7 linked regions of the Oryctolagus cuniculus genome follow. The protein of the gene in region 2 purifies or fractionates together with the protein of the main gene of each other region. This does not show direct contact. Links are inferred from orthologs where the notes say so. Each region holds a gene or a part of one and is shown on either strand. Other genes may lie near its edges.

What was found.
Region 1: the proteins of SNRNP200 (region 2) and SF3A1 fractionate together in Homo sapiens (co-fractionation; 3 studies listed by BioGRID and IntAct, with this or other methods). This does not show direct contact. The link is inferred for Oryctolagus cuniculus from reciprocal best matches to the Homo sapiens genes SNRNP200 and SF3A1.
Region 3: the proteins of SNRNP200 (region 2) and CDC5L fractionate together in Homo sapiens (co-fractionation; 4 studies listed by BioGRID and IntAct, with this or other methods). This does not show direct contact. The link is inferred for Oryctolagus cuniculus from reciprocal best matches to the Homo sapiens genes SNRNP200 and CDC5L.
Region 4: the proteins of SNRNP200 (region 2) and CD2BP2 purify together in Homo sapiens (affinity purification with mass spectrometry; 8 studies listed by BioGRID and IntAct, counting the BioPlex papers as one, with this or other methods). This does not show direct contact. The link is inferred for Oryctolagus cuniculus from reciprocal best matches to the Homo sapiens genes SNRNP200 and CD2BP2.
Region 5: the proteins of SNRNP200 (region 2) and SNRPA1 fractionate together in Homo sapiens (co-fractionation; 3 studies listed by BioGRID). This does not show direct contact. The link is inferred for Oryctolagus cuniculus from reciprocal best matches to the Homo sapiens genes SNRNP200 and SNRPA1.
Region 6: the proteins of SNRNP200 (region 2) and SF3A2 purify together in Homo sapiens (affinity purification with mass spectrometry; 4 studies listed by BioGRID and IntAct, with this or other methods). This does not show direct contact. The link is inferred for Oryctolagus cuniculus from reciprocal best matches to the Homo sapiens genes SNRNP200 and SF3A2.
Region 7: the proteins of SNRNP200 (region 2) and U2AF2 fractionate together in Homo sapiens (co-fractionation; 3 studies listed by BioGRID, with this or other methods). This does not show direct contact. The link is inferred for Oryctolagus cuniculus from reciprocal best matches to the Homo sapiens genes SNRNP200 and U2AF2.

What each region holds. Positions count from the first base shown.
Region 1 is NC_091452.1:23,643,511-23,646,076, reverse strand, and holds the end of SF3A1 (splicing factor 3A subunit 1), read left to right. Parts: intron 1-631; coding exon 632-733; intron 734-846; coding exon 847-918; intron 919-1,609; coding exon 1,610-1,711; 3' UTR 1,712-2,066; downstream 2,067-2,566. UniProt on the Homo sapiens protein: Component of the 17S U2 SnRNP complex of the spliceosome, a large ribonucleoprotein complex that removes introns from transcribed pre-mRNAs.
Region 2 is NC_091433.1:111,293,521-111,297,020, forward strand, and holds part of SNRNP200 (U5 small nuclear ribonucleoprotein 200 kDa helicase), read left to right. Parts: coding exon 1-88; intron 89-412; coding exon 413-610; intron 611-984; coding exon 985-1,137; intron 1,138-1,247; coding exon 1,248-1,328; intron 1,329-1,614; coding exon 1,615-1,698; intron 1,699-2,361; coding exon 2,362-2,468; intron 2,469-2,796; coding exon 2,797-2,915; intron 2,916-3,170; coding exon 3,171-3,325; intron 3,326-3,446; coding exon 3,447-3,500. UniProt on the Homo sapiens protein: Catalyzes the ATP-dependent unwinding of U4/U6 RNA duplices, an essential step in the assembly of a catalytically active spliceosome. Plays a role in pre-mRNA splicing as a core component of precatalytic, catalytic and postcatalytic spliceosomal complexes.
Region 3 is NC_091436.1:125,737,836-125,741,977, forward strand, and holds the start of CDC5L (cell division cycle 5-like protein), read right to left. Parts: upstream 2,801-4,142; 5' UTR 2,463-2,800; coding exon 2,418-2,462; intron 1-2,417.
Region 4 is NC_091450.1:6,706,452-6,710,592, forward strand, and holds CD2BP2 (CD2 antigen cytoplasmic tail-binding protein 2), read left to right. Parts: upstream 1-1,341; 5' UTR 1,342-1,471; exon of another isoform or gene 1,472-1,616; intron 1,617-1,727; exon of another isoform or gene 1,728-1,996; 5' UTR 1,997-2,022; coding exon 2,023-2,097; intron 2,098-2,260; coding exon 2,261-2,396; intron 2,397-2,502; coding exon 2,503-2,660; intron 2,661-2,782; coding exon 2,783-3,218; intron 3,219-3,304; coding exon 3,305-3,411; intron 3,412-3,500; coding exon 3,501-3,611; 3' UTR 3,612-3,828; downstream 3,829-4,141. Other genes in the region: sesquipedalian-1, read right to left, coding at 1-472. UniProt on the Homo sapiens protein: Involved in pre-mRNA splicing as component of the U5 snRNP complex that is involved in spliceosome assembly.
Region 5 is NC_091443.1:10,490,476-10,494,623, reverse strand, and holds the start of SNRPA1 (U2 small nuclear ribonucleoprotein A'), read left to right. Parts: upstream 1-1,348; 5' UTR 1,349-1,423; coding exon 1,424-1,505; intron 1,506-3,347; coding exon 3,348-3,495; intron 3,496-4,148. UniProt on the Homo sapiens protein: Involved in pre-mRNA splicing as component of the spliceosome. Associated with sn-RNP U2, where it contributes to the binding of stem loop IV of U2 snRNA.
Region 6 is NC_091447.1:59,110,277-59,114,377, forward strand, and holds the start of SF3A2 (splicing factor 3A subunit 2), read left to right. Parts: upstream 1-1,301; 5' UTR 1,302-1,457; intron 1,458-2,081; exon of another isoform or gene 2,082-2,188; intron 2,189-2,479; 5' UTR 2,480-2,513; coding exon 2,514-2,639; intron 2,640-2,746; coding exon 2,747-2,818; intron 2,819-3,208; coding exon 3,209-3,255; intron 3,256-3,440; coding exon 3,441-3,550; intron 3,551-3,816; coding exon 3,817-3,866; intron 3,867-3,976; coding exon 3,977-4,101. Other genes in the region: PLEKHJ1 (pleckstrin homology domain-containing family J member 1), read right to left, coding at 13-129, 218-281, 412-502, 576-642, 732-799, 878-971. UniProt on the Homo sapiens protein: Component of the 17S U2 SnRNP complex of the spliceosome, a large ribonucleoprotein complex that removes introns from transcribed pre-mRNAs.
Region 7 is NC_091449.1:3,337,062-3,341,076, reverse strand, and holds the start of U2AF2 (splicing factor U2AF 65 kDa subunit), read left to right. Parts: upstream 1-1,215; 5' UTR 1,216-1,306; coding exon 1,307-1,355; intron 1,356-3,591; coding exon 3,592-3,727; intron 3,728-4,015. UniProt on the Homo sapiens protein: Plays a role in pre-mRNA splicing and 3'-end processing. By recruiting PRPF19 and the PRP19C/Prp19 complex/NTC/Nineteen complex to the RNA polymerase II C-terminal domain (CTD), and thereby pre-mRNA, may couple transcription to splicing.

The sequences.
Region 1 (2,566 bases), on a different chromosome or scaffold from region 2:
GACACCTGAAGCAAGCCCGGGTGTGGTTCATGAACTCAGTGTGGCCTTTCCTGCAGTCCTCGCCCTTGCTGGGGTGCTAGAGTAAAGGAAGGTGGGAACCGTGGTGCTGCTGCACCCCAGGGAAGCTGCTGGGCTCCAGTGAGGAGGCGAGAAACAGCCGCAGCCCCTGACGGCTCAGTGCGTTTGACCAAATCTTCTGTTTTCGTTCTTAAGAGAGTCCTGTTTTGGGCACTTAGCGAAGTGCAAGGGTGGAGCTCACCTTGGGACACTTTTCCGTGTGGGGCTCACCGCAGGGCTCTGCTGTCGCTCTGATCAGCTCTGTTGTACAGGCAGGCTGAGACCTTATGAGCCGAGTTGGGAATCAGGTCTGGATTTTACAGGCCACTTTTTTTTACACTTGTGCTTCTTGGGTGTCACAGAGCATTTTTACCCAACCTCTTCATTTCAGCTCTAGACTCGCAGGAGGACTTGAAAACAGAAAGCACATCTTGATATGGGAGTGTGACTTGTACAATATGACAAGTGTGTCAGTAGAGAATCAGGCCAGAGCCAGGTGCCCTCAGGATGGCAGAACATAGTTCCTGATTGGCTCAGGGGTCCCCAGGCATAATGATCCCCTTCTGTTTTGCAGGGTCCAGTGTCCATCAAAGTCCAGGTGCCCAACATGCAGGATAAGACGGAATGGAAGCTGAATGGGCAGGTGCTGGTCTTCACCCTGCCTCTCACAGACCAGGTAGGGGTTGCTGCCACCAGCGGTATCACGTGCATGGGGACCAAGGGTTCAAGGGACAGCTTCCTTCTGCTGGCCTTTGCAAGGGCACGAATGACCTCTCCTTGGCCCCACAGGTCTCTGTCATCAAAGTGAAGATTCACGAAGCTACAGGCATGCCTGCAGGGAAACAGAAACTGCAGTACGAGGTGCGTCAGAGCGTGCCAGTCCCTTCCCTTAGGTCCCAACACTGCTGTGCCAGAAGCTAAGTCCCCCATGCACAGGGAGATGGGCAGTGATCCTCTGAGTTGTCCCAGAAGTGAAGGTGCTGGCGGGGGTGCCAGAGCTGGAGAGCGTGCCAGTGTGAGGCTCCGGCAGTCCATCTTGTGTGGAGTCCAGGGAACCCTCTGCCCCGAGCACTGGGGACAGGATCTGGGGGTGTGCCTCGGGAGTGCTGTGCTAGGTCATGGACCCAGAGCTGAGGCCATCCCAGCCAGGGCGACCTCAGGTGGTGTAGTCCAGCCTTGCCTGCTTCCTGGTGGGTCACATAGTCGTGCTGTGTTCACCCTTTTGGACTTGACCAAATCCCGCCTTGGGCTTCAGTTTCCTCCTGCAAAGCGAGGCTGTTGCTCAGGTGATCTCCAAAGGTCTCCATGGCCTTGGTCGGGCAGTTTCTTGGGAAGTTGAGCTTTGAGCCAAACATTGACAAAGGGGAAGAGCGTCCATCAGTTGATTGGAAGGAAGGAAAAAGCATTTTGGGTAGAGCCAGAGCCCTTCAGTCCCTTGTCCCCCGCCTTCCCTCAAGCCCTCATGTTTGCTAGGTGTGCCATGCAGATGGACAGGCCACGTTGTGTGTCCAAGGCCAGGGACCTCACGCCAAGGCGCACTGTCTCTTTCCAGGGCATCTTCATCAAGGATTCCAACTCGCTGGCTTACTACAACATGGCCAATGGCGCCATCATCCACCTGGCCCTCAAGGAGAGAGGCGGCAGGAAGAAGTAGAAGAGAGAAACCTGCTGTCAGGTCCCTGCTGTTTTGTGTCTCCTGTCCCCCACTCCAGTCCTAGACACACAGGCCCTCTCTGGACATTCAGAATGTCCTGCCGCATTTCATTCCCCGGACTCCTTCCCATGTTAGTAATAGTAGCAAGACTTTTGAAGCTACTCCCTGGGATCCCATTGTGTTAGGGTCTTGATTTGAAGGCACTCGTTAGTTGGAGCTGAGATCCAGGGATGGCGTACAGGATAGGTGCATTGTGCCAAGAGGCACTTGACTGATTGAGTATGGCTTTTATGGTCGTTAATGAGTTTCGTATTTTGCTGTGGTCTAATAAACTTCTTGGATCTTTCTTGTGAAATCGGTGTAATGAGACTTGTCTCTTGGCCCGCGTGCCCTGTGCACACTCCAGGCAGTGGGAACTTGGCACAGCGCCACGTGGCTCCTCTCTGCTCTAAGGATTCCCAGGGTTTATAACTTACCACCATCATATCTTTCGTGTAATAGAATCTCCTTATGCTTTTCAGAAGTGTTTTATTGTGTTGTCCTTGGAAAACACTGGAGTCCTACAAAGGTGTAGCCCAGTGTGCTTAACCGATTCACACAGGATGCCTTCGGCATGCCATGGCCCACAGAACAAGGATGGTGATGTGGCTCTTGGTCCATGGGGAGCAGTGACACATGCAGGCCAGGGTCACCCATCACCTGACTGATTCTGTGACCCTGGGTAAGTGCCTTGCCTGGTGAGAGCACAGGGATATGGAGAGATTTCTTTAAAATGTATTTATTTATTCAGAAGTCAGGGCAACAGGGAGAGAAAGAAATCTTTCATTGGCTGGTTCACTCCCCAAAATGGCCACA
Region 2 (3,500 bases):
GCAGCTTCCTATCGAGAGTCAGATGGTGTCAAAGCTGCCGGATATGCTCAATGCAGAGATCGTGCTGGGAAATGTCCAGAATGCAAAGGTAGGAGAGAGCCCTTGGTGCTTCATAAGTGCCTCAGGGAGACTGCGGCGCTGGGGTGCGATGTGCGTCATCATGTGCTTCAGGGCAGCAGTATCCAGGGCCTTCCACTGCCTGCCCCAGTGTCAGCTTCTCAGGTTTGTGACAGATAGTTCTCTTGTTACCAAGAGCTTAGAAAGGACTCTTGTCATTTAATAGTGACGTATTCTAAGTGTTCAGAAAATGCTGTACAGCTTCGTAGTTGGGAATCTCTAAGCGATCCATGGGAGTGTTTCATCTGGACATCAGGAGTTGTCTGTGGTAAGAACCGCAAGCTGTCTCTTACAGGATGCAGTGAACTGGCTGGGCTACGCCTACCTGTACATCCGAATGCTCCGATCCCCTACTCTCTATGGCATCTCTCATGATGACCTTAAGGGAGATCCCCTGCTGGACCAGCGCCGACTGGATCTGGTTCACACTGCTGCCTTGATGCTGGACAAAAACAACCTGGTCAAGTATGATAAGAAGACAGGCAACTTCCAGGTGAGTCGGGTGAGGGTTTTGAGAAGAAGGTCTCAGCAAAAGATGCAGGGTTTTCACATGCCCTCTCTGAGTTCTGCCTGGCAATGATGGGATTGGATTGTAATCTTTGAAACTAGGGATTTCTAAAATATGGCTTCTTTTCCCATAACTTGAGTTAGGTAGATAATTCAGCTGTCTGGTTTGTATGACATCACTTCAATATAGGTCAGTTTATCATGCCGTCTTCATGTTCCTGGGCCAGGCACTTATACTGCCATGAGTTCATCCAGTTGTCCAATTAGAACAGTTACCTTTAAAACACTAACCTGCTGTCCACAGTTGGAGCTTGGAGTTCATTAATCATTGGTGTTTGATCAAGTCTCCCTTGTCTCCAGGTGACAGAACTGGGCCGGATAGCCAGCCACTATTACATTACCAATGATACAGTGCAGACCTACAACCAGTTGCTAAAACCTACCCTGAGTGAGATTGAACTTTTCAGAGTCTTCTCATTGTCTTCAGAGTTCAAGAACATCACCGTGCGAGAGGTGAGCCTGTGCAGCGTGCTGGAATGGGGAGTTGGGATTCACTGACAAGGCGCTTGGTTTCTCTCCTTGGCCACTTGGCTGTTCCTTGACCAATTTGCTCCTTGTGGTAGGAGGAGAAGCTGGAGCTTCAGAAGTTGTTGGAGAGGGTGCCCATTCCTGTAAAGGAAAGCATTGAGGAGCCCAGTGCCAAGGTGAGCCCATCTGCTCTTTGCTTGGGATAAGGATCAGGATATAAGGATCAGTTTGCATAATCTTCCAAAAGTTGAACCTTGAATTTGAGCTTGTGTCTGGTAACCGACTCAGTTCTCCCAGTTTTTGCATCTTTCTCACATTTTTATATGTAGTAACAGTTATTTCTTGTCTGTACATCAAGAGCTGTAGAAGATCTGACCTGGCATGGAGCCAGAGCAGAAAGGTAATTTGCTGCCATGGCTTATTTGTGATTGGCCTCCTGCTGGCCTCTTTGCTTCTTTCCAGATCAATGTGCTTCTCCAAGCCTTCATCTCACAGCTGAAGCTGGAGGGCTTTGCTCTGATGGCTGACATGGTGTATGTTACCCAGGTAAGGGCAGAGTTGTGCTGAGGCTGTGAGAAGGGGGCAAACATTCTCAGTCATTTGTGTGCTGTGGGTGTTGTGGGGAAAGGAAGCCCGGCGCTAGTGAGTTAGAAGGAATGCTTTGCTCTGCCTGGATTGACTAGTTGGTTAATGCATATGTGGTATAGCTACTCTGTTGTACTGCTCCTGAACACGTGGGACAGGTTAGGCTCTCAGAGGGAACGCTAGGAGACTGCATCTGCCTTCAGAAAGAGGGCAGTCCATAGGACACAATGTCCACTTCCAACAGAGAAGGGATTTGCCACTGCAGCTGCAGAGCTCTTACATCAAACAATTTTCTTAGCTATCCTTTGTCTTCACCATTAAGGGTAGGTCACCAGTTCCTTCACTTACGTTGGAATCCTAAATGCTAAGTAAGTCAGAAGCCTTAAAATCATGCAGTGCATGTTAGATTAAGATGTGCTGTGACTTTGAGCTGCACTTTCCTAACTGGTCTGCATTCAACAAGCATCTACCTTCTAGAAAGGAGAAAGCAGTGACTCCACAGGGGCGAGTTTCTGGGCTGGTATGAGTGATTGCATCAGAGCTGAAGGCGGTTAAACCATGGGTAGAGTAGCTTCACAAGGCCCAGGGATGATGGAGACATAACTGGGAATCTTCTTTCCCCAGTCGGCTGGCCGGTTGATGCGGGCGATTTTTGAAATTGTCCTGAACCGAGGTTGGGCACAGCTTACGGACAAGACTTTGAACCTCTGCAAGATGATTGACAAGCGCATGTAAGGGCCCAGCAAGCCTGAGGCTGATCACTGTAGGGGTCCCAGACTGAATGCATTGGAGTGCATCTGATCTCTAGTCCTGATACTTACAGGGTGACGTGAACCCGGGTGAAAGTTAAGGAGAAGGAAAGCCCTCTGGGGGGCTGGGTGTAGTGGGGACAGCAGTCACTGTTGACTCTCAGGTCTCACTGCTGTCACAGTTTCCAGTGTCTTTCTCTGATGAGAAAGTATCTTGTGAGGTTGGGGCTAACCTGTTGGAAATGACAATGAGGGCAATTTGCTACGGTCCTACAGAGGGGACCAACAACTTTGTCGCCTTCCTGGGCAGGTGGCAGTCGATGTGTCCTCTGCGCCAGTTCCGGAAACTCCCTGAGGAAGTAGTGAAGAAGATTGAGAAGAAAAACTTTCCCTTTGAGCGTCTGTATGATCTGAATCATAATGAGATAGGTGTGTGAGAAGCTCTCATCCTCTGGTCCTCACAGCCCGGGCTTCTTTCTTAGCCTTCACTCTCCAGTTCCTGGGGCTTGTGCCAATGACCTGTGTTCATTTCCCACATCCCCTTGAACTATAGGCCAGCTCTTGGTCTTGGGCTCCACAGAGTAAAGGGGGTGAGCCTACCCTTTTCCCACAGTGGTCTTCAGCCTAGTTTATAGATAGGCTAGTATGGCTGGGTTGCAGCCCTTATTTCTCATTTCTTCCTAGGTGAGCTTATCCGCATGCCGAAGATGGGGAAGACTATCCACAAATACGTCCACCTGTTTCCCAAACTGGAGTTGTCAGTGCACTTGCAGCCCATCACACGTTCCACCCTGAAAGTGGAGCTGACTATCACACCAGATTTCCAGTGGGATGAAAAAGTAAGGCTTTGCTGGGAGGTGGGGAGGGGGAGGGACAGGGGCAGGGAGATGGTGAGGGAGCTGGACCCGAGGTGCTGAGGTCCCACCAGGCTCAAGTCCTTTTACCTGTTTGTGCTGGCAGGTCCACGGTTCATCAGAGGCATTCTGGATTCTGGTGGAGGATGTGGACAGTGAG
Region 3 (4,142 bases), on a different chromosome or scaffold from region 2:
CTCTATTTGCAATGCTGGAATCTTGTATCTTGGAGCATCAGTTCAGGTCCCACCTGCTCCACTTCTAATCCAGCACCCTGCTAAATGTGCCTCAGAAGGCAGTGCAAGACAGCCCCAGTGCTTGGGCCCCTGCCACCCACATGGGAGACCTAGATGGAGTTCCTGGCTCCTGGCCTAGCGTGAACCAGCAAATGGAAGATCTCTTCTCCCTGCCACCTCCCTACCCCCATCGCTCTTTCAAACAAATAAAAAATAAATCTTTTAAAAAAATAAATATTTCAAATGTACTTAAGAAATAAGAATTTTTAAACACACAAAAAACCTCACTGACCATAATGATAAACAGTAAGCAACCAGCAAAATGCAAGAAATTAAGAAATTCCTTAGGACATCTTACTGTTCCTTATAAACACACACCCAATTGTGTGTGGGAACAACCACCTCTGAGCAACCCTACTTTCGGACAGAGATTAACAAAAAGTATTCTCCAATATGTGGCTGTCATTCTTCAAGCAGGCACAGCTCATTCATTTACACCTTCACTCAGAAAACACTTCCTGAACACTTGCCTTGCACCAGGTCTTGTATACTTGGGGAGAGAATCGAATAGGACACATCCAGGCCTCAAAAAGCAAGTTGGGACTCAGATGAAACCACTCTCCAATTCACACTTCCTGCCTCCAGTTCAAGCACGGCCTTTCCTCCCCAGCCCCATCCGCCCCACCACGACCCAAGAATCCACATCTCAGATTAGACCATATCTCAGTTCTAACCTGAGATTCAAATATTTCTCTCCACAACCCCTCCCAAGTCATCTCTCTCCAGTCTCCCCCAGACTCTAGATACTATTTCACCAGGGCTGCCACCCAAACACGGAATGTACCAATCCCAGAGCAGCCTGGCAAGCCAAGCCACTGGCGCGGAGGACGATGGAGCCAGATGTGAATGCACTTGAGACATTTCACTTGCAGGCTCTGTTCCACAGCCAACTGTAGAAATCTGTCAGCAGATTTGACCGTAGCACAGGAATCCTGCTACTACTTGATTTTTTCACGGGTCTCTCCCTCACAAGTCAACTCCTCTCCATTCAAACAGCCTAGTTCCCTCAGCACAAGGGAGGGGACTTGCACTGCCTTCATCTGTCACGTGGTGCTGCACCTCTAATACTTAGATCACAGCTACGTCCCGCGTACCCGCCGAGATGCATTCCACAAACATCTGCCAAGCAACCTACTACTTCACGCTGGTTACTCTCCTGTGCTCCAGGAAGAGCAGGACCTGTTCCCCTCCCCTCCCCCAGTGCTGTCTGGAGAGGTAAGAGGTGCCTAGCACTGGCTGAAAGGCTACTGTGTTCCCGACTGTTCCAAATGTCCCAAATGTGGCAGCTCACTTAATCCCCACAGAAACATGAGGAATCTAAGGCTTGGAGAAATGGAGAAACCTGCCAGCATCACTCCCAAGGATGTGACACTGGCAAAAGTCAAAGCAAGCCGACAACAAGTGGATGACAGGCACCGTGGGCCCACAGGGGGGTGCTACCAACGCTCACAGGCTGAACAGGCGAAGATTTGGCCGCCAAGGGCTTCTGAACCAGGTCAGGAGGATGCCAAGCGGGTCGAGGATACCGCAAGGAGGCACAGAGGTAATAAAAGACACGAGATAAGCCGTGCTCAGAAACTGATCGATCCAGGGCACTCGACACGAAACGCACTCAAATCTCATTTCTGTCTTGCTCCCTTTCTACTGCTCTCCGGCTCTCAGATGGCACGATCCACTACGACACTACCCGCAGCAGTCTGTCCTATCTGGCTTCAAGCCATGCCAAGGCGGAGAGACGGGAAGCTAAGAGAGAGACAGGCCTTGGCATCTGTCGGGAGAGCGCGCACAGGCTGTGCCTGGCTGACGGATAAACCGACGGATGCAGGAGAAACGGGCGCCGAGAACTCGGTATGCAAGCTGCTTCCCCTCTCTGCAAGAAGTCAGCGAAGAAACAAAGTTGTGGCTGCACCAAGTTCTTTAGTTTTGGGGTGCCAGAGACAGCCGCGAGCTGAGGGGGGGTAGCGTCCCGGAAGATCACCTCTCCTGGATGTCCCACCCCTCCTGCCACCCAGTGGGGACCTCGGGGAAAGGGGGCCGGGGCGGCGCGGCCTCGACTCAACAAATGTTCGCTAAGGGCCTAACAAGTGCCTGACGGTGAGCTCGGAGCCGAGCCGCCGGTCCTTGGGGCGCTCCCGTCACCCCTGGCGGGGAACAGCGCTGAGGCGCCGAGGGTCGTCGGCCCTGGCGCTGCGCGGCCCGGCCCACCCCACGCAGACCCCGCAGGGCATCCTCGTCCGCTCCCCGGCCCCCGCGCGCGCGCGTGCGCACAAGCTGCCGGAGGGGGCGGAGGGCAGCGGACGGCGGGAAAAGAGACTCACCTCGGTATTTCTCCACACGCCGCCCTTGATCATAATTCGAGGCATCTTGGCGACAGGTGGTCTCGGCAAGCGGCCGAGAGGAGCTTCAGAAAAGTAGTAACGGCGCTCCGGTCACGGGACCCAAAGCCGCCACTTCCTCCAAGCGCGACCTTCTGCTTTGAAGAGATCTGCGCAGGCGCAAGGAGGTGGCGGGGGGGGCGGTGGCAGAATAGCAAGTCTCGCGATATCTCGGGAGGCTGAAAGGTTAGAAGTGCTTTCTCAAAGCTCTAGTGTACAGACTGACAGAAAACCATCAAACTGCTGTGGCCGTAGCGCCGTGCGCCGCGCGCATGTCCAAGTCAGGCTGGAGGAAGCCATGGCTCTCGCGAGACATCCGCAGCGGCGGCCGGCCCGGCGTCGCGGTGGGGTTGGTCATCGTGACGTCACTCGGCGGTGGGGGTGCAGACGGGTTGTGTGTGGCCTTGCAGAGTAGCCGGTCCGGAGAAAGCGTCGCGAACTAGCGCTTTATTGAGCGTTTCGCTAGTCGAGTACGCAGGAGGAAGAGAACAGCTTATCTGCGGCTCAGTTTCCCAACCTGTAATACAGAGTAGTAATAATAGCCCCCACCCAGTGGGGTTCTGCTAAGAAGTGAGGTCCTCAGCGGAGTGCAGGGTCTGACAGACGACTGTTCCCAAAAAGCGCCGCTGCGATTCCAAGGAGGGCAGCGCCTCCACCTGCCCCCGGGGAGGGGCGCAGCGGCTGTCCCGGAAGCCCCCACCGATGTCCCCTCAGCGTCTTTCATCCATCGCCATTCAGTCTGTGTGAATTAATAACAAAGACCATTATGGGCGCTGGTATTAAGGGAGCCGGACTCGAGTTGGGCCGGAATCTTGGCTGTCTCGTCAGCGTGGGTAATACCCGTGCTGAATCTCAGAGTGCTCGTCTGAAAAGTGGAGCCAGCAACACCGGCTTCAGCAATCGGAGGGGCAGGATTAGCTGTGACAAACCAAAACCTAACCTTGGATAAGGGTTGTCCAGCTCTCCGCCACCCCACTTCCGAGTTACTCAGACATCTTTCCCATTTCAGAACATCGCTTTGACGCCAGTCCTAGGAAATATGAAAATATTTAGTTAATGGATGAGGAAAGTCCTGGGTCTTTATATAGTGCCTTGCTCTTTAGGTTTTTTCATTTCTCCATTTGCGTCTTCTGGAAAAACTACAGAATGTTCTGATAATTTTTTTATCTTGAAATGGGAACTTTTTAGGTGTTTTTAATAATGCTGATGTCATTTGTTGGCATAAAAATTATTCAGATACAACAGGATATTTTTAAGATTTTTTTTAAATTTATTTTTTGAGAGGTAGCTTTACAGACAGAGAGGGCAAGAGAGGTCTTCCATCCACTGGTTCACTCCCCAAATGGCTGCAATGGTGGGAGCTGGGCCGATCAGAAAGCAGGAGCCAGGAGCTTCTTCCGGGTCTTCCACGCGGGTGCAGGGACCCATCTTCTATTGCTTTCCCAGGCCATAGCAGAGAGCTGGACTGGAAGAGGAGCAGCAGGGACAAGAACCAGAGCCCATATGTGATGCTGGCACCACAGGCAGAGGCTTAGCCTACTATGCCACAGCACCAGCCCCACAATGTAGTGTCTTTAGAATGACTATACTTTATATTCTGTGTATTTAGTCAAATATTTTTCTCATAACTCCCAATGTGTACTTGATCTCCCTATGTGTTCAGCAACT
Region 4 (4,141 bases), on a different chromosome or scaffold from region 2:
CGAGGATGGCTAGAAAGCCACAGTCCTCGGCGGGGCACCTGGGTTCTTGGCCAGCCGCCTGGCAGAGCTCCCGGTACTGGGCCTCCATGGGGGGAAGCAGCCTAGCCAGCCGCCTCCAGCTCACCCCGGCCAGCGCCCACAGCCAAGCCCTCAGCTCCTCCTGGCTTTCTGCGGCCAGCTTGTAGGCCCGCCCCCCTGTGCCCTCTCCCCCGGGGGTCACGATGGTGAAGGCGAAGGGCTCTGCGGCCTTAAGGCGAGGCTCCACCCGGCAGCTCTCCAACAGGATGAGGCCCAGGGGAGTGTGGGCTTCCTGGTGTTCCAGGTAGAAGAGGAGGTTTCCACGGAGGACAAACCAGCGGCGCTGGTAGCTGCTGTTTCGGGCCCCCTTCTTCAGCAAGATGCCCTCCTGGTCTGGGGCCTGGGCTCTGCAGCCTTGGAAGAAACTGAGCACAGACTTGCGGTGCAGTTTCATGGTGGTGGCCCTGGAGGGACCCTGGGGGAGAGAGGAGTGGTCCCCTGGTTGCCTGGGAGGATGCTCACGCCCTCCTAGCTCCAGCAGGCTCTGCCTGGGCACAGTCTTGGCCTGCACACCCTTGGGCGTTAGCTGTCTTGTCCCACCACCCAGGGCCAGGCCCGCCCACCTCCCCGCCTCAAATCCCATCACCTAGGCAGGGTCGCTGGGCCCTGATTGCTAAGGGGGCGGGGGCTTCATCCCACCGCTGTGGTGCCGGAGGGACCATTGCCCTTTCCTAGGCCTACCTGAGAGCAGGCACAGGGGCTTCTGGGCTGGCCACAGGGCACCCGCGACAATGCCACCTCTGCAGCAGTGGCTGCCCCGCCTCAGAAATCAGGAACTGGCTCCGCGGACAGGCGTGGAGCACGTGATTTCCCCTGGGTCCTAAAGGCGGCTGGGTTCTGAAAGTGTCCCAAGTGCCCTCAGAGGCCATCAGGTGAGCCTGGCTTCCCTTAGGGAGAAGAGCAGGGCCGCGCCTCACGCTAGGAGAGGGCGCAGCTCTGACAAGTGTAAGGCACTTGGCCAGTCTGCGGGAAACGGTGGTGCGAACCCCGGAAGGGGCACCTGGGGCTGGAACCCATCGGCTCTGCTCCTCCTCTGCCCCTCCATCCTGACCCTGGGCTCCCCTCTAAGTGGAGTTGCATCCCCCAGAGGCTGCGTGAGGGCATCGAAGCCACTTCGGGGCATCCTCCGCGCCGATCAGGGTCTAGGCGCCCGCACACTCCTCGCCGCTGCAGACCCGCGCGGCTCACGTCACTCCTGGCGGGGGACAGGGTTGGAGGTTGCCGCCTAGCTCACTACCTACTTCCGCCCGCTCTTCCTGTTAGTCCTTCAAGTGGAGTGAAGCCACTTCCGGCCTCCGCCGTACGCTTCCGGGTGATGGCGGCCAGGTGCCCCGGATACAGCCCTGGTGAAAGCATCTCTCCTTTTCTTCCCCTGCCTCCCCTAGATCCCCAGGTGAGCGCGCGCGGGGCTGGCTGCCGGAGTCCCCGTGGCTGTGCCGCCCTCTAATCTGTACACACCCCGGGACAGTTGGGGGGTCAACCACGTGGAATTGGGAGTTCGGCGCGAGGAGGAGGAGCAGAGCGGCCGGGAGCGCCAGGTCCTGGGTCGGCCCGGGCCCCGCGGGCTCCGAGGGCTTTGGGGTTGCGGGAGCGGGTGTGTGTGCCCGCCGAGCCCGGTAGCGCTCAGACTGCGGAGGCCGGATATGGGCGTGGTCACGTGGGGGAGCCGGGCCCCTGTCGTCGGGGTGGGGATACTCCCCGCGTCTGGCCTGGCGTCCCAGCTCCGTTAGCTCTGGGATGGCGAGCCGAGGCCGTGGGAGCCTCCGGGCTGCAGCTCCCGCTCTGGCCCCCGATTCTCTGTGCTCTTCCCTCCCAATGGACCTGGCACGCACCAGGAAGCGTGTCCTGTGGCCAGGGTTCTCTTGCAGTGGGTGGCCTCCCGCTCAGGCCGCTTCCTCTGCAACTTTTCCCCCATCAGGTTAAGGGAAGCCCCCCTGGCCCGTCATGCCAAAGCGGAAAGTGACCTTCCAAGGCGTGGGAGACGAGGATGAGGATGAAGTCAGTGTTCCCAGGAAGAAGGTGAGGGGGCCAGACCGTTTTGTTGGGGGGAGGGGAGGCAGAGCGGAGCCTGAAGAGGAGGGCAGGTCCCCCAGGACTGGGTTTGGAGGGTGCTCAGCTTGGGTGCAGATGCTGGAGTCTGGGAGGAGCTGAGAATTCTGCATTTCTCCCTTCCTGCTCTCAGCTGGTGGACCCCGTGACTGGGCCCGGGGGTCCCGGGAGCCGCTTCAAAGGCAAGCACTCCTTGGACAGCGATGAAGAGGATGATGACGACGAGGGGTCCAGCAAGTATGACATCCTGGCCTCAGAGGATGTGGAAGGTGAGTAGCACCCAGGGAGGGACGAGTGGGGACTTGAGGGAGGGAGGTTCCTGTCTCTCTCTTTTTTTTGCATGCCTCGCATGGGGCGACTCTGTCTCTGATGCAGGTCAGGAAGCAGCCACGCTCCCCAGTGAGGGAGGGGTGCGCATCACTCCCTTCAACCTGCAGGAGGAGATGGAGGAAGGCCACTTTGATGCCGATGGCAACTACTTCCTGAACCGGGACGCTCAAATCCAGGACAGCTGGCTGGACAATATTGATTGGGTGCGGCCCAGGGCTCAGCACGGCTGGGGTGGGGTGGGGGGGCTGGATCTGGGCTCCTGGAGCAGGTTTGTAGGAAACAACCCCCTGCAGCCCCCGACCCTGACCCCTTTCTTGCATTCTAGGTGAAGATCAGGGAGCGGCCCCCGGATCAGCGCCGGGCTTCAGACTCGGAGGAGGAGGACAGCCTGGGCCAGACACCACTGAGCGCCCAAGCCCTCCTCGAGGGACTTCTAGAGCTGCTGCTGCCCAGGGAGACAGTGGCCGGGGCACTGAGGCGGCTGGGGGCCCGAGGAGGGGGCAAAGGGAACAGCAAGGGGCCCGGGCGGCCCAGTTCCCCCCAGCGCCTGGACCGGCTGTCTGGGTTGGCTGACCAGATGGTGGCCCGGGGCAACCTTGGCGTTTACCAGGAAACTCGAGAGCGCCTGGCCATGCGGCTGAAGGGGTTGGGGTGTCGGACCCAGGGGGCCCAGGATTCCACGCCCCCGCCCTCCCTGGACATGTTTGCGGAGGAGGTGGCTGAGGGGGAGCTGGAGACCCCGACCCCTCCCCAGAGAGAAGGTGAGCTTTGGAGGGCAGAGGAGGGGCAGCGGTGTGGACTGGAGGCCGGGCAGTGGAGCTCCAATCGGCTCCGCCTCTGGTTGCAGAGGCAGAGTCGGCGGGCGACGGCCTGGTGGACGTGATGTGGGAATATAAGTGGGAGAACACCGGGGAGGCCGAGCTCTACGGACCCTTCACCAGTGCCCAGATGCAGGTGAGCGCCCCCCCCCCTCCCCCGCACGCCCCGCCCCACCCCCGGCCCGCCCCGCCCCGCCGTGTCAGCCCCGCCCTGTCTACCTGCAGACCTGGGTGAGCGAAGGCTACTTCCCAGACGGAGTCTACTGCCGGAAGCTGGATCCCCCGGGTGGTCAGTTCTACAACTCCAAACGCATCGACTTCGACCTCTACACCTGAGCCTGCGGAGGGCCCAGTTGGGCGCCCCCCCCACCTCCCCCGTTCTCTGCTGGACTTTGGGGGAGCCGGCCCCCAGCTGCCTTGGGCAGGGAGAAGATTGGAGGCTACTTTTCAATTTCTGTTTTTCCCAATAAAATGCCTTTAGTGGTGTGCGAGGGCCTCGGCTGTGCTGACGGCCAGGAGCCGGGGGCCGTCTCCACAGCCCTTCAGACTGTTATGTGTTTGTACGCTTTTTCCTCTGCCGTGGTCTCTCCCCGGTGCCTTGAACCCTCCTCACCTTCGTTTCCCGCCTCCCTGACTGGCAGGTGTCCTGTGTGGGCCCCGCCCTGATCTGCGCCTGCGCGGGCTTCTCGCTGTGCTGACCTCGCCTCCTCTGTCCTCACAGCCGCTGGGGACCTGAGCCCCGGGCCCAGGAATTGCAGGTGTTAGTGGGACGTCTCGAAGACCAAGGATGAGCAGGAATTCTCTTTTTTTTAATTTTTTTAAAAAAGATTTATTTATTTATTTGAAAGTCAGAATTACACAGAGAG
Region 5 (4,148 bases), on a different chromosome or scaffold from region 2:
CATCCTAGCAGGGGCTACCCGACTGTGTTTTGTTCTGTGCCTGGCGACATTACCCTCGATCGCCTGATTAGGGCCTTTCCCCTTGGTTGGCTGAGAAACGGTGCCTGCCAAAGAGGGTCCACTGTCACCACTGCTCCATGCCGTGCTGCAGGTCCCAGCCAGTGTGAACAGGGATCCAAAAAGAAAAAGCCAAAGAAAGAGCAAGTAAAATACAAGGGGCTGGCTGTGTCCCGTGGGTTTCACTGCCGCCTGCATCCCATGTGGGCTCTGGTTGGAGTCCCAGCTGCTCCACTTCCGATCCAGCTCCCTGCTAACGCACCTGGGAGAGCAGCAGAGGATGGGCCAAGAGCTTGTTCCCTGCACCAGTGGGGGAGTCCTGGAAGAAGCTCCTGGCTCCTGGCTCGGGCCTGGGCCATCCCCAGCCGTTCTGGCCATTTGGGGAGTGAATCAGTGGATGGAAGATTCTCTCCTTCTCTGTCTCTCCCTTTCAAATAAATAAATCTTAACAAAACGAACAAAAAGATAGGGTCTGGCACTGTGGCGTAGCAGGTAGAGCCGCTGTCTGAAGCCCCGGCTGCTCCACTTCCGACCCAGCTCTCTGCTCTGGCCTGGGAAAGCAGTGGAAGATGGCCCAGTGCCTGGGCCCCTGCACCCGCGTGGGAGACCTGGATGGAGCTCCTGGCTCCGATGGGACCAGCCCCAGCCGTTGCCGACACTTGGGGAGTGACCCAGTGGATGGGAGGTCTCATGCTGTCTCGGTGACTCTCTCAAATAAATAAATCTTTTTATATATATAAAAAAAAGTTAGTTAAAAATGGAATTTCTGTAAATGGCCTTTACAGTACCATCCAAAAAACTACAAATATCTAGAGCTGCAGGCGCGGGCCGAGCCTGCGGGGAGAGGGCGGCGGCGGCCACGCGCGTCACGGGGCAGGCTGCAGGACGCACGCTTCCAGTCTCTCAAGGTCGGGAGACCCCCGCGGGCCTACCGCAACCCCACCAGACCCGGGCTTGACTCCCGGGGCCGGCCCCGCCGGCGCCAAGCGGCCACGCACACCCTCGCTCCCACTGCGCGATGCCCTAGTGTGAGAGAGGTCCGCGGGGCTCTTCCCCCGGTTTTCCTAACTTTCGGACCCAGACGTCTAGAAGCGGGGCCCCCCACCCCCACCCCACCCCACCCGACCCGACTCCAGAAAGCCCCGGGCGGAGAACCCCGCGCCCGGCCCGTCCCCAACGCCAGCACGGAGCGCCGGCCGAGACGACCTCCCGGGGAGGCGTGGCTCTTCGATTGCTTCGGGCTGGCGGTCGATCTGCGATTGGTGCGGCCTGGCGGCGGCGCGGGGCATGCCGGGACGTGTGCTCCGCGCGCGGCGGCAGCGGCAGGCGGGGGCGGCGGCGGCGCGGGGCGGCTGGCGGCGGCAGCATGGTGAAGCTGACGGCGGAGCTGATCGAGCAGGCGGCGCAGTACACCAACGCCGTGCGGGACCGCGAGCTGGACCTCCGCGGTGAGTGCGGGGGGCGCGCGCCGCGGCCTCGCGGCCGTCCCGCCGGCGGAGCCTCGAGCTGGCTTCCGGCCCGGCGCGTAGCGTCGCGCGGGCCTCGCGGGCGGGAAGGCGGCCCCGGCGGGCGGGAAGGCGGCCCCGGCGGGCGGGAGCTGCTGGGCTGGGATCCGGGCGGGAGGAGGCGGGGCCCCGATGGTTTCTCACCCGATCGTTCCCTTCCGGGAAGCGGCCTTGAGGTGGAGCCGTCTCGCCGAGCCTGGGCGCGTGGGGCGCTCTAGAGGCGTCGGCCCGGACTCGGCTTCCCGGGGATGGGGGCCGGGCTCGGCTTCCCGGGGATGGGGGCCGGGCTCTGGGGGCGTCGGCCCGGACTCGGCTTCCCGGGGATGGGGGGCGGGGGCCCCGGACTCGACTTCCCGGGGATGAGGTCGGGCTCTGGGGGCGTCGGCCTAGACTCTGCTTCCCGGGGATGGGGGCCGGGCTCGGTTTCCCGGGGCGGGGCCGGGCTCTGGGGGCGGGGGCCCCGGACTCGGCTTCCCGGGGATGGGGGGCGGGGGCCCCGGACTCGGCTTCCCGGGGATGGGAGGCGGGGGCCTCAGACTCGGCTTCCCGGGGATGGGAGGCGGGGGCCGGGCTCTGGGGGCGGGGGCTCCGGGCTCTGGGGGCGGGGGCCCGGACTCTGCTTCCCGGGGATGGGGGCCGGGCTCTGGGGGCGGGGGCTCCGGGCTCGGCTTCCCGGGCTCTGGGGGCGTCGGCCCGGACTCGGCTTCCCGGGGATGGGAGGCGGGGGCCGGGCTCTGGGGACGGGGGCCCCGGACTCGGCTTCCAGGGGATGGGGGCCGGGCTCTGGGGGCGGGGGCCCCGGACTCGGCTTCCCGGGGATGGGAGGCGGGGGCCGGGCTCTGGGGGCGGGGGCCCCGGACTCGGCTTCCCGGGGATGGGGGGCGGGGGCCCCGGACTCGGCTTCCCGGGGGTGAGACTGCGGCGCTGGCCGGAGGTTGCCCGCGGGCGCCCGTTGGCTGTGCTCGCGGCCTGGACTCCCCGCTGACCTTCGGGGGAAGCCCCGGAGCTGCTATTTTGTAGCGAAAGGCTCGGTCCGAGAGCAAGCCGCCCCTTGGGCCGCTCCCAGGTCTGGTGGGCGCGCCGTGCTGAGCAGCTCTGGATTGGAAACGGCCTGGCCGCGGCCCTTCCCTCCTCCGCTGGGCACCGAGCGCAGCAGTAGGCCCCGGTTAGAGCGGTGGGCTTTCGGGCGAATTGTTCACAGGGCGTCGCCTTCAGGTCTGGATTGGCGCTGGGGAGGTGAAATAAAGGGCTGTGGTGACGGCATGAGCGCGTCCCGGGAGCCTAAGGGCTGTAGTGGCGTCATGAGGGTGTCCGGAGAGCCTGTGGACTCTGGTGACGTCATGAGCGTCCCGGGGAGCCTGTAGACTGGTGACGTCATGAGCGTCCCCGGGAGCATGTGGGCTCTGGTGGCGTCATGAGCGTCCCCGGGAGCATGTGGACTGTGGTGACGTCACGAGCGTGTCCGGGGAGCCTGTGGGAGAGGTTGGGGACCGTTGACAGTAGGGCCTGGGCCTACTGCAGCGGAAGGCGAACCGTTGGGCGGCCCCGCCAGCGTTCTTCGGAGCCTCGTCAGGCGCCCCTCACGCACGTCCTTGCCGTCAGCCTCGCGCGTCCGCAGCTGGAGCCGAGCCTCGCGGCGCCGGGGACTCGAGACCGCCCGCTCTCGTGTGCGGTGGGTGCGCGCAGTGTTCCTCACTGGCAGGTGTGGGTGCTGGACACCGCCGGCGGCCCGAGGGCCCTTCGGGTCCTGTTCATGCCTCTCCCGCCCCGCCCTTCTGTCCGCAGGGTATAAAATTCCTGTCATTGAAAACCTGGGTGCTACCTTGGACCAGTTTGATGCTATCGATTTTTCCGACAATGAGATCAGGAAGCTGGATGGGTTTCCTCTGCTGAGAAGACTGAAAACGTTGTTGGTGAACAACAACAGGATATGGTGAGTGCGCCGGAACAGCGTGGCCTTTTCTCCGCTGCTCGCTCCTGAGAAGCTGTAGTGAGGCCGGGTAGACCTACTTGATTCCAGGGTTCTGCGGGCACCTCCTGCAGCAGGAGGCCTGGCCAGCCGGAGCTGGGAGCTGGAGCCGGCCGGATGGCTGCTGTGGGTGCGTGCGCTGTCACCAGCCCCTGGGGCCTGCAGCAGCAGCAGAGCTGGCATTGGCGCCACAGCTGGGCGTTTAACCCGGGCGCTCGAGTGTGGAGCGCAGTGTCTAACTGCCTGGCTCACACCTGTGAGCCAGTCTTCTTCGAATGAGAGATGGGGTGCAGCTTTCCAGGGATCCAGGGGTTACTTTGACATTGGCCTAGGCGTATTTGCATATGTTCAGAAATATTTACATATTCATAATTTCTAATTAAAAGTGTGCTGTTTTGTACATGTTTTGGCTTCTAAAATAGTTATCAAAGGGATTGTATAAAAAGCTTTATAAAGCTCAGTAATTGTGTTTTTATCACATGTCTACCTCCTGCCTTCTGCTTTACTTTTCTTCAGTTAAACTGGTTTCTAGAAGATTTGCTGAAATTGGGATCGTTTTAGCCCTTAAGCTCTGTGTAAATTTTATTGGAAAAAATTTATTGGCTACTTGTAGAGAA
Region 6 (4,101 bases), on a different chromosome or scaffold from region 2:
GCCGGGCCGGGGTCAGTCCAGCGCGTCCAGCCCGGGCCCGGGCCCGGTGCCCGCCGGCCGCCCGTCGCTGGGCGGGCTGCTGATCTGGAAGCGGGCCTCCGCGGAGATCCCGAACTGCTCCAGGGGGTCCTAGGGCGGCGGGCGGGGAGACGCGGTGACCCGGGGCCCGGGGCCGGGAGCCCCGCCCGCCCGGCCGCCCCGCACGCGCCCCCCGCACCTTGCCCGTCATCTTCTGGATCTCATTCCGGTAGAAGATGAGGCTCCTCCGCATGACCTCGTAGCTGCGGGAGAGGCCGTGCCCGCGGGGTCAGGCCGCCGCCCCCGCCGCGCCCGCCGCGCCCGCCGCCCCCGTCGCGCCCGCCGCGCCCGCCGCGCCCGCCGCCCCCGCCGCCCCCGCCGCCCCGGCCCCACCTGGCCCTGCGCAGCGCCTCCGTCCACTGCCGGCACTGCTCCTCGCTGCCGCACTCGAACACGTACTTCCTCTCCGGGTCCTCCAGGAAGCCTGCGGGAGCGGCCGCTGTGGGTGCCCGCGCCCGCCCCGCGCCCGCGCCGCCCCGCCCGGCCCGCGCACTCACCGATGGAGAAGCTCCGCGCCTCCTCCTGGGCGACCCGGCAGCGCTCCAGCAAGAGGGCTCCGACGGGCTGCGGGCACACGCGCCGTGAGCGGGGCCGCCCCGCGCCCGCGCGCCCCGCGCCGCGCCCCGCCCCCGCGCCCCGCGCCCCGCGCCCACCTCGGCCTCGTCCGTGCGGAAGTAGAAGAGGAAGTTCACCACCAGCTTCACCAGGCGCCGCTTCAGCACTGCGGGCACACAGCGGGCTCAGGGCGGCCGCGCGCCCCCGCGCCCCCGCGCCCCCGCCCGCGCCCGCGCCCGCTCACCGCTGCCCTTCTTGGGGCCCCGCATGCCCAGCTCAGCCGCCATCTCGGCCGGCTGCCGGGACAGCGCCTGCAGCTCCTTCTCGTTGTAGCGCATGGCGCCGGCGCTGCCCGGGACCGGGAACGCGCGCTGCTAGCTCTGAGCCCTCTCGGCCGCCGTCCCCGCTCGCGCCAGAAAGATCCCAGGTCGGAGCCCCGGAAGCGCCATTGCGCCTGCGCGCCACGGGCGAGTCTTGCGCGCTGCGACCGCGGCGTGCTGGGGCGTGGGTACACGCCGGGCAGCCGCGACACAGCCGCGGAATAAAGTGGGTCTGAGGCGCAAGCAGGATCGAAGGACCGCCGAGCGCGGGCGGACGGGGCGTTACCGGTTCCCGCCCCCGCCCCCAAGAGCCGACGCGGGTGCGCGCGCGGAGCGCGTTGTGCGCAGGCGCGCCTCGGGCACGCGCATGCGCACACTCGAGGGCCCGTCCTCCCTCCGGAAGTGCTGCGAGCGCCCGCGCCGCGCGTGCGCACTGCGACGTCGTGGCGGCGGCTCCTGAGGCGGACGGCGGAGGCCTGCGACGCGGGGCGCGACCCACACGAAGTAGGCGCGGGGGCCATCGGGGCCCCGGGGCGCCCAGGGTGGGCTGGGGGCGCGGGAGGGAGGGGCCGGGGCGGGCGGCGGGCCCCACGGCGACCCCGGCCCTCCGGAACTCCGCGGCGGGCGTCGCGGGGGTCGCGGGGGTCTCGCGTCCGTCCGGGGCGGGCTCCGGGGTCCGGGGAGCGGCCGCGGGCCTTCGGCTGCTCGGCGGGGCGGGCCCGGGCCGCGGGGCCGCGCGCGGGGGTGCGTGCCGGCGTTCCCGCCAAAAGCCGCCGGGACCCCCGAGGCCGCCCCCGCTGGCGCCTTTGTCGTCGTGGGGGTCGGTCGCGGGCGCCCGGGGGGCTGCGGGGCGTCCCGGGTGCGGACGGCGATGCGGCTGCGTCTTAGATTTCCCTCCCGCAAGCCTGCGTGCCCGGGGCCGCGTCTTCCCCTCGGTCCGCTGTCCGACTGTCCCTTCGCGTGGTTCCCCCTCCCCCAGCCCTGAGGTCCTGGGTTCGCGTCCCGATGGAGGGGCTGTGGGGCCGCCAGGGCTCGTGCGTGGACCGCGGGCGGGCCCGGGTCGCCCTGGGGTCAGCCGGGGGCGGCTCGTGCGTGGACCGCGGGCGGGCCCGGTAGCGCCCTGGGGTCAGCCGGGCCGCCCGCGCCGTGCCCGGAAGTCGGGGTCGCAGGGGCGGGGTCTCCTCCCGCCGGTCCAGTCCCCGGAGGCCGGGCCGGGCCGGGCCGGGTCAGAGCAGGTGCGGGGCCCGGGCCGGCAGCCAGGACTCGGGCCAGTGCCCGAATGGGGCCCGAGCGGCCCCTGCCGTCCACGGGGAGGCCCAGCCCTGGCTTAGGGGCATTGGGGAGTGGACGGCGGGGGGGCGCCAGGCGGTCGTCCGCGCCCCCGTTCTCCCCGACGCCCGCGGCTGGGCCCGGCGGCTGACACGGGAGAGCCCGCGTGGGTGCGCCCGGGAGGGGCTGGGGGCTGCCTCCTGGGGTCTCCGGCCCCCGCCGCGTCCTGAGGGCCCCCCCCGGTCTGGGCTCCGCAGGCTTCTCCGGCGCTGAGGTCCGCAGGCCGGCACCATGGACTTCCAGCACCGCCCCGGCGGCAAGACCGGGAGTGGGGGCGTGGCCTCCTCCTCCGAGAGCAACCGGGACCGCCGCGAGCGCCTGCGGCAGCTGGCCCTGGAGACCATCGACATCAACAAGGTAGGGCCGCCCGCCCGCCCCCCCGCGGGGCGCCCCCGACGCCCCCGACGCGCCCGACGCCCCCGACGCCCCTGACGCCCCTGACGCCCCGCGCCGCTCTCCCCCAGGACCCCTACTTCATGAAGAACCACCTGGGCTCCTACGAGTGCAAGCTGTGCCTGACCCTGCACAACAACGAGGTACTGGCCGGCCTGGTACCCTGCCCCCGCCCCTGCCTGCCCCCGCCCCGCCCACCGGCCGGCCTGAACCCCTCGCCCCCGCCCCGCCCACCGGCCGGCCTGGCCCCCCCCCTCCACCGGCCGGCCTGATCCCCCCCCTTCCCGCCCTGTCCACTGGCCGGCCTGGTCCCCCGCTCCTGCCTGCCACCGGCCTGGCCCCGCCCCCAGCCGGCCTGATCCCCCCGCCCCCGGCCTGACCCCCGCCTGCCGCTGCCCCACCCCCCGGCCGGCTTGGTCCCCCCCTCCCGCCCTGTCCACTGTTCGGCCTGGTCCTCCCCCACCCCGCCTGCCGCTACCCCGCCCACCGGCCTGGCCCCGCCCCCGGCCTCATGTCCCGCCTCCTCCACGCAGGGCAGCTACCTCGCACACACTCAAGGGAAGAAGCATCAGACCAACTTGTGAGTGCCCCCCGCGCCCCCCGGCTGTGACACGGGGGAGGGCCCCTTGACCCGCCCCCCAGCCGCAGGGCCCCGCCCCTCACCCCCCCCGCGGGAGCCCAAGGCCGGGCAGGGGGGCTCCTGCACCTGCGCCCGTGGCCTTGGCCTGGTGTGGAGGACCACAGCGCCCGTCTGCCCCGCCCCAGGGCCCGGCGCGCAGCCAAGGAGGCCAAGGAGGCGCCCGCCCAGCCCGCGCCCGAGAAGGTCAAGGTGGAGGTGAAGAAGTTCGTGAAGATCGGACGCCCTGGCTACAAAGGTGAGGGGGCGGGGCCGCCCGACACCAGCCCTGGGCGGGGGGGGGGGGGCAGGCGGGGACAGGCGAGGCCCTGGGCAGGGAGGGGCAGGCGGGGACAGGCGAGGCCGTGGGGCTGTGGGCAGGCGGGGTCCTGGGCACGGAGGGGCAGGCGGGGCTGTGGCGTGCAGCCCTGGGCCGGCCCTCTGAGCTGGGACCTGGGCCTCACCTGCCGCCCTGGGCGGGACGTGGGGCTGCGGGGGGGCCCCTCACCGGCCCTGGTGTTGCAGTGACCAAGCAGCGGGACACGGAGATGGGCCAGCAGAGCCTGCTCTTCCAGGTGGGCGGGGCCGCGGGGTCGGGGGGGGGGCCGCGGGGGCGGGGCCGGGTGGGGGCTGCGGGGGCGGGGGGCAGTGGGGGCTGGGGGCCCCTGACACTGCCCGCCCGCAGATCGACTACCCCGAGATCGCCGAGGGCATCACCCCCCGGCACCGCTTCATGTCGGCCTACGAGCAGAGGATCGAGCCCCCGGACCGGCGCTGGCAGTACCTGCTGATGGCCGCCGAGCCCTACGA
Region 7 (4,015 bases), on a different chromosome or scaffold from region 2:
GAGGGGAAGCGAGGGGTTGGGGAGCACAGGGTGGGGCGAGCCCCCCGGGGGCGGCGCCGTGCGTTAGCGGCGCGGGGCCCGACGACCCCCGGCATGGGCGGTCCCCGGGCGCGGCGCGGCGTGGCACGGCGGCCGTCTGCCGCCAGGGGGCAGCAGCGCGACGTTGGCCGCGTCCCGGAAGTGGTGCTTCCACCGCCTTCCACGCGTGCGCGCGGCGGCAGGGGTGCGAGAGCGCGGACGCAGTTGCCAAGACAACCGGGAGCGGGCGGTCGTGCTTAACGGTCGGGAACTCGGACTCCTTTTAGGCAGGGAAAGCCTCGCGCACGCGCAGTGGGGGCCCTGGAACCCGACACCGCCACCCCGCCTCAGACCGACCTCCGCGCAGCCGCAATAGCCCGCCTCAGCCCCTGCGCAGGCGCGCAGAGCCGCGCTGGCAACCTCCGCAGCGGCCGCGCGCGCCCTCCAGCCCGAAGGCTGCTGCTGCCTCGCGCAGCCGCCTCAGGCGCTCCGGAGAGTCGGCCCTTCCTTCCTTCCTCTCTCCCATCGGGAGAGCCAGGTGCCGAGAGCCCGGACCCCGCCCCCTTCTCTGGACCCGGGCCCCGGACCCACCTCGCCTCCGTCCTCCCTCCCTTTTCGGTTCCCGCCGCCGGAAGGAGCCGAAGCGCCGCCGGAGAGAGCCGAAGCCGCTTCCGTGAGGGAGGGGCTTCCCGAAGCCGCGGCGGAAGGAGCCGAAGCTCTCCGGTAGGGGAGGAGTGCGCGAGCGGACTCTCCGGAAAGAGCCGAAGCCTCTGGCGAGCGCCGAAACCCTCGGAAAGGTCGTCGGCAGTGGCCGATTGCTTAGGCGGGTCCGGCGGAGCAGCGCGGCGGATCTGCAGAGGGAGAGACTGGGGCGGTTGGAATTGTCGGGAGGAGCCGAACCCGCGGAGAGGGCTCTGCGCCGAGGGACGCGAGGACCCGCGAACACAGCCGGACGGCGAGGCGCTGACTTCCGGAAAGTTACGGAAACCCGAGACGCCGGCCAGGTCCTCGCTTCGGGCGTTTTCGGAAACCGCCGAGGCCGACCGTCCGGAAAGAGCCGACGCGCTTCGGAGCCAGGCTCGGGGGCGGGGCTCGCGGGGGTCGGGCGGGGCGAGGGGCGGAGCCTGGGCGGGGCGGGCTGCCGGGGCTTGATTAGGTAGGAGGCGGTACAGCGCCGGCGGCGGCCGGAAGTAGCCGAAGCTAGCGGCGGAAGTAGCCGAAGCGGCCGGAGCGGGCGGGCGGCGAGGCGAGGCGAGCGCTGCACAGGGCCCGACGCGGCCGCCTCAGCATGTCGGACTTCGACGAGTTCGAGCGGCAGCTCAACGAGAATAAACAAGGTGAGGGCGCCGGGGTGGCGGGGCGGCGCGGGAGGGGTGGCTCCTCGCTTGGCTCCTCGGCCCCCGCCATTTTCCCCCTCGTTTCCCATTCCTCGGCGCCGCGCGATCCACCCCCCCTCCCGCGGCGCGCCTCGCTCACGTGACCGCCCGCGGCGCGGCGAGGGGCAGGGGCGGCGGGCGCGGGCCCGTGGCGCATGCGCACGGCGCCCGCCCGCGCCCACGTGGTCCCCGCGGAGGTGGCGAAGGGGGACGCGGCGCGCTGGCGCCGGAGTCGTCGACCCTAGCTCTGCTCGCTCTCTCCCTTTCTTGGCAAAGACGATTAGTATGTTAGATCCTGTAATCCCCTTCTTTTTCGCCCGCTGCTGCAACTCTTCCGCTTCCGGTTGTGCCGGGGCTGCGTCTCCACGCCCCCTTTGTTTCAAAATGGCGGTCTCGGGGACGGCCCCCTCCCCCTCGCGTGGACCGGGGCCCCTAGCTGGGCCTCCTGCGTGTCCGCGCGGAGGTGGGACGGCGCGGCTGCGGGCCGAGGCAGGCAGTGCCCGGCAGCGCCCCGCCGCCCGGGGCTGCGTGCCCGCTTCTCGCGTTCGGCGAGAGTGAGGGCGCCGGGAGCAGCGGAGGTCCAGGGGCCCAGGCCCGAGCTGGGGCGGGGGTGGACGGAGCCCGCCCCTCCCGCGGCCTGCCTGCCGCCTGAGTACCGAGGGTGCGGTGTTCTTTGCTAATGTTTCTGGCTGTAGAGATTCCTCATGGGGCGAGCGAGCCCCGCTGCAGGGAAGCTGCGCCCCTCGCTGGGGGCCGGCGCTTTGTTCGGTCCGCCCGCGTTTCCTCGCGAGCACGGCCCGGGTCCCCCCGCTGCGGGAGGGGCTCGGAGGGCGGACACGGAGTCGGGCGAGCCGGGCCGGCTGCCCTCCCGCCGTCGGCTAGGCCCTCGGCGCACCTGGCGCGCGGGGCGGGACGGCGCCTGCTCGAGCCAAGTTCCGGTCGCGTTCGCGTGGCGTCCTGCGGTCAGCGGGGAGGAGCTGGCGCGGAGTCCGGCAGGTGTGCGGCGCCTCCTCCGGGGCCCACGTGTGCCCCGTGCCGTGCGTGGGTCTTTGTCCCAGCGCGCCAGTCTCCCTGCGTCTCTTGGCGACCTGTGCCTAGGGGATTTCCTTGTTTGCGTCCGGGCGCCCCGCGGGCGTCCCTTTCCTGCGCGCTGCTGAGCCTCGGCGGCGGGACGCCTCCTGGGCCGGTCCCCGTGGGCAGCAGAGCTGCTGGGGCCGGCGCCCGGCGCCCGCGCGGTGCTCGCGTGCTGGCTGCGGGCCGGCGCCCTCGTCTCTGTCTTCCGCACCCCAGCGGGGTTTCTCTGTCTTTGCCTTCCGCGGAGGGAGTGTCGTCGTGCAGGTTGGAGGCGGACTGTCTGCTCCGCCGGCCCCGTGTCCAGCAGTGGCGGGTGCAGGCTGCTGGCGCGCGTCCCGGCCGCCCGTCCTGTGGCCGAGCCTGGGTGCAGGTTCTGGCTGGGGATGCAGGCGGTGCTCCCGGTTGTGCGTGCTTGAGCGTGCGTGGTTGGGGGCAGAGCACGCGCAGCCACGTTGGACAGTGTGTGACACGGAGGCCACGGGGGCGTGGACCTGTCCTGCGCTGCGTGTGGTGGCCCGGTCGGGCCCGTGCCGGGGCGCGCGGTGTCCTGCGGAGGTCCTGGCGGGACCTGGAGTCCCTGGTCCTCGCCCCGAGGGGATGGAGGCATATTGGTCCCGCGTGGCCTGCCTGCAGGAGAGGGATGACTCGAGCGTCCTGCATCCGGGCACATCACATCACGCCTGGCTCCGTGCTCCTGGGCCGGACGTGGGGGGCTGTGGGTGCCAGCCGGTGCCCGCGTCTTTCCTGAGGGGTCGCTGGGTCCCTTCAGGAAAGCATCATTGGGTCTCTTGATTCCCCAGCGTCTAGCCCTGCCCCTCTCAGGGACGACCCTGGGGTCAGGCCCCTCAGCCCTCGAGGGGGACCAGGAGCCAGCCTCCTCTGTCTTCTCTGGCTCCTCAGCCCTTGAGCATCCGCAGGTATCTTCACCCCCGGGGCACTAGCAGGCCCTGTCCGCGGTCCCCTCTGCTGTGGACCCAGGAGGCCTCTTCTCTCCCTTCCTCCTGCAGTCCCTGCCCTTGGGGGTGGCCTCCCTGGGTCTTGGGCGTAGCCACCAGCGTGCAGGGTGGGCTGGGCCCGCGTCCTCCCTCCACTCAGCCCAGCCCCTGCCTCTCGCCTTGCGCAGAGAGGGACAAGGAGAACCGGCACCGGAAGCGCAGTCATAGCCGCTCGCGAAGCCGGGACCGCAAGCGCCGGAGCCGGAGCCGGGACCGGCGCAACCGAGACCAGCGGAGCGCCTCGCGGGACAGGCGGCGGCGAAGGTGCCCGGGCCAGCCTGGGTGTGGGGGGCGTCTGGGTGGCCCCACAGCCTGCGTGGCCTCGTGTCTGTCGGGTGGGGACCAGCTCTCCGCCGAGTCTGGCGTTTCTTTCACTTCCCCGCTGGCGGTGCTGGGGGCTGCGGGTTCTGTCTGCCCCGACCCCGAGGGCTCTCCTTACAGAGACGACTTGATGAAGGGCGGGCCGGGGGCTCTTGTCCTTGGCTGCCACGCTTGGGGCTGGTCCAGGCCAAGGCTAGGACCCCGAAACTCCATCCTGGCCTCCCCGTGGGT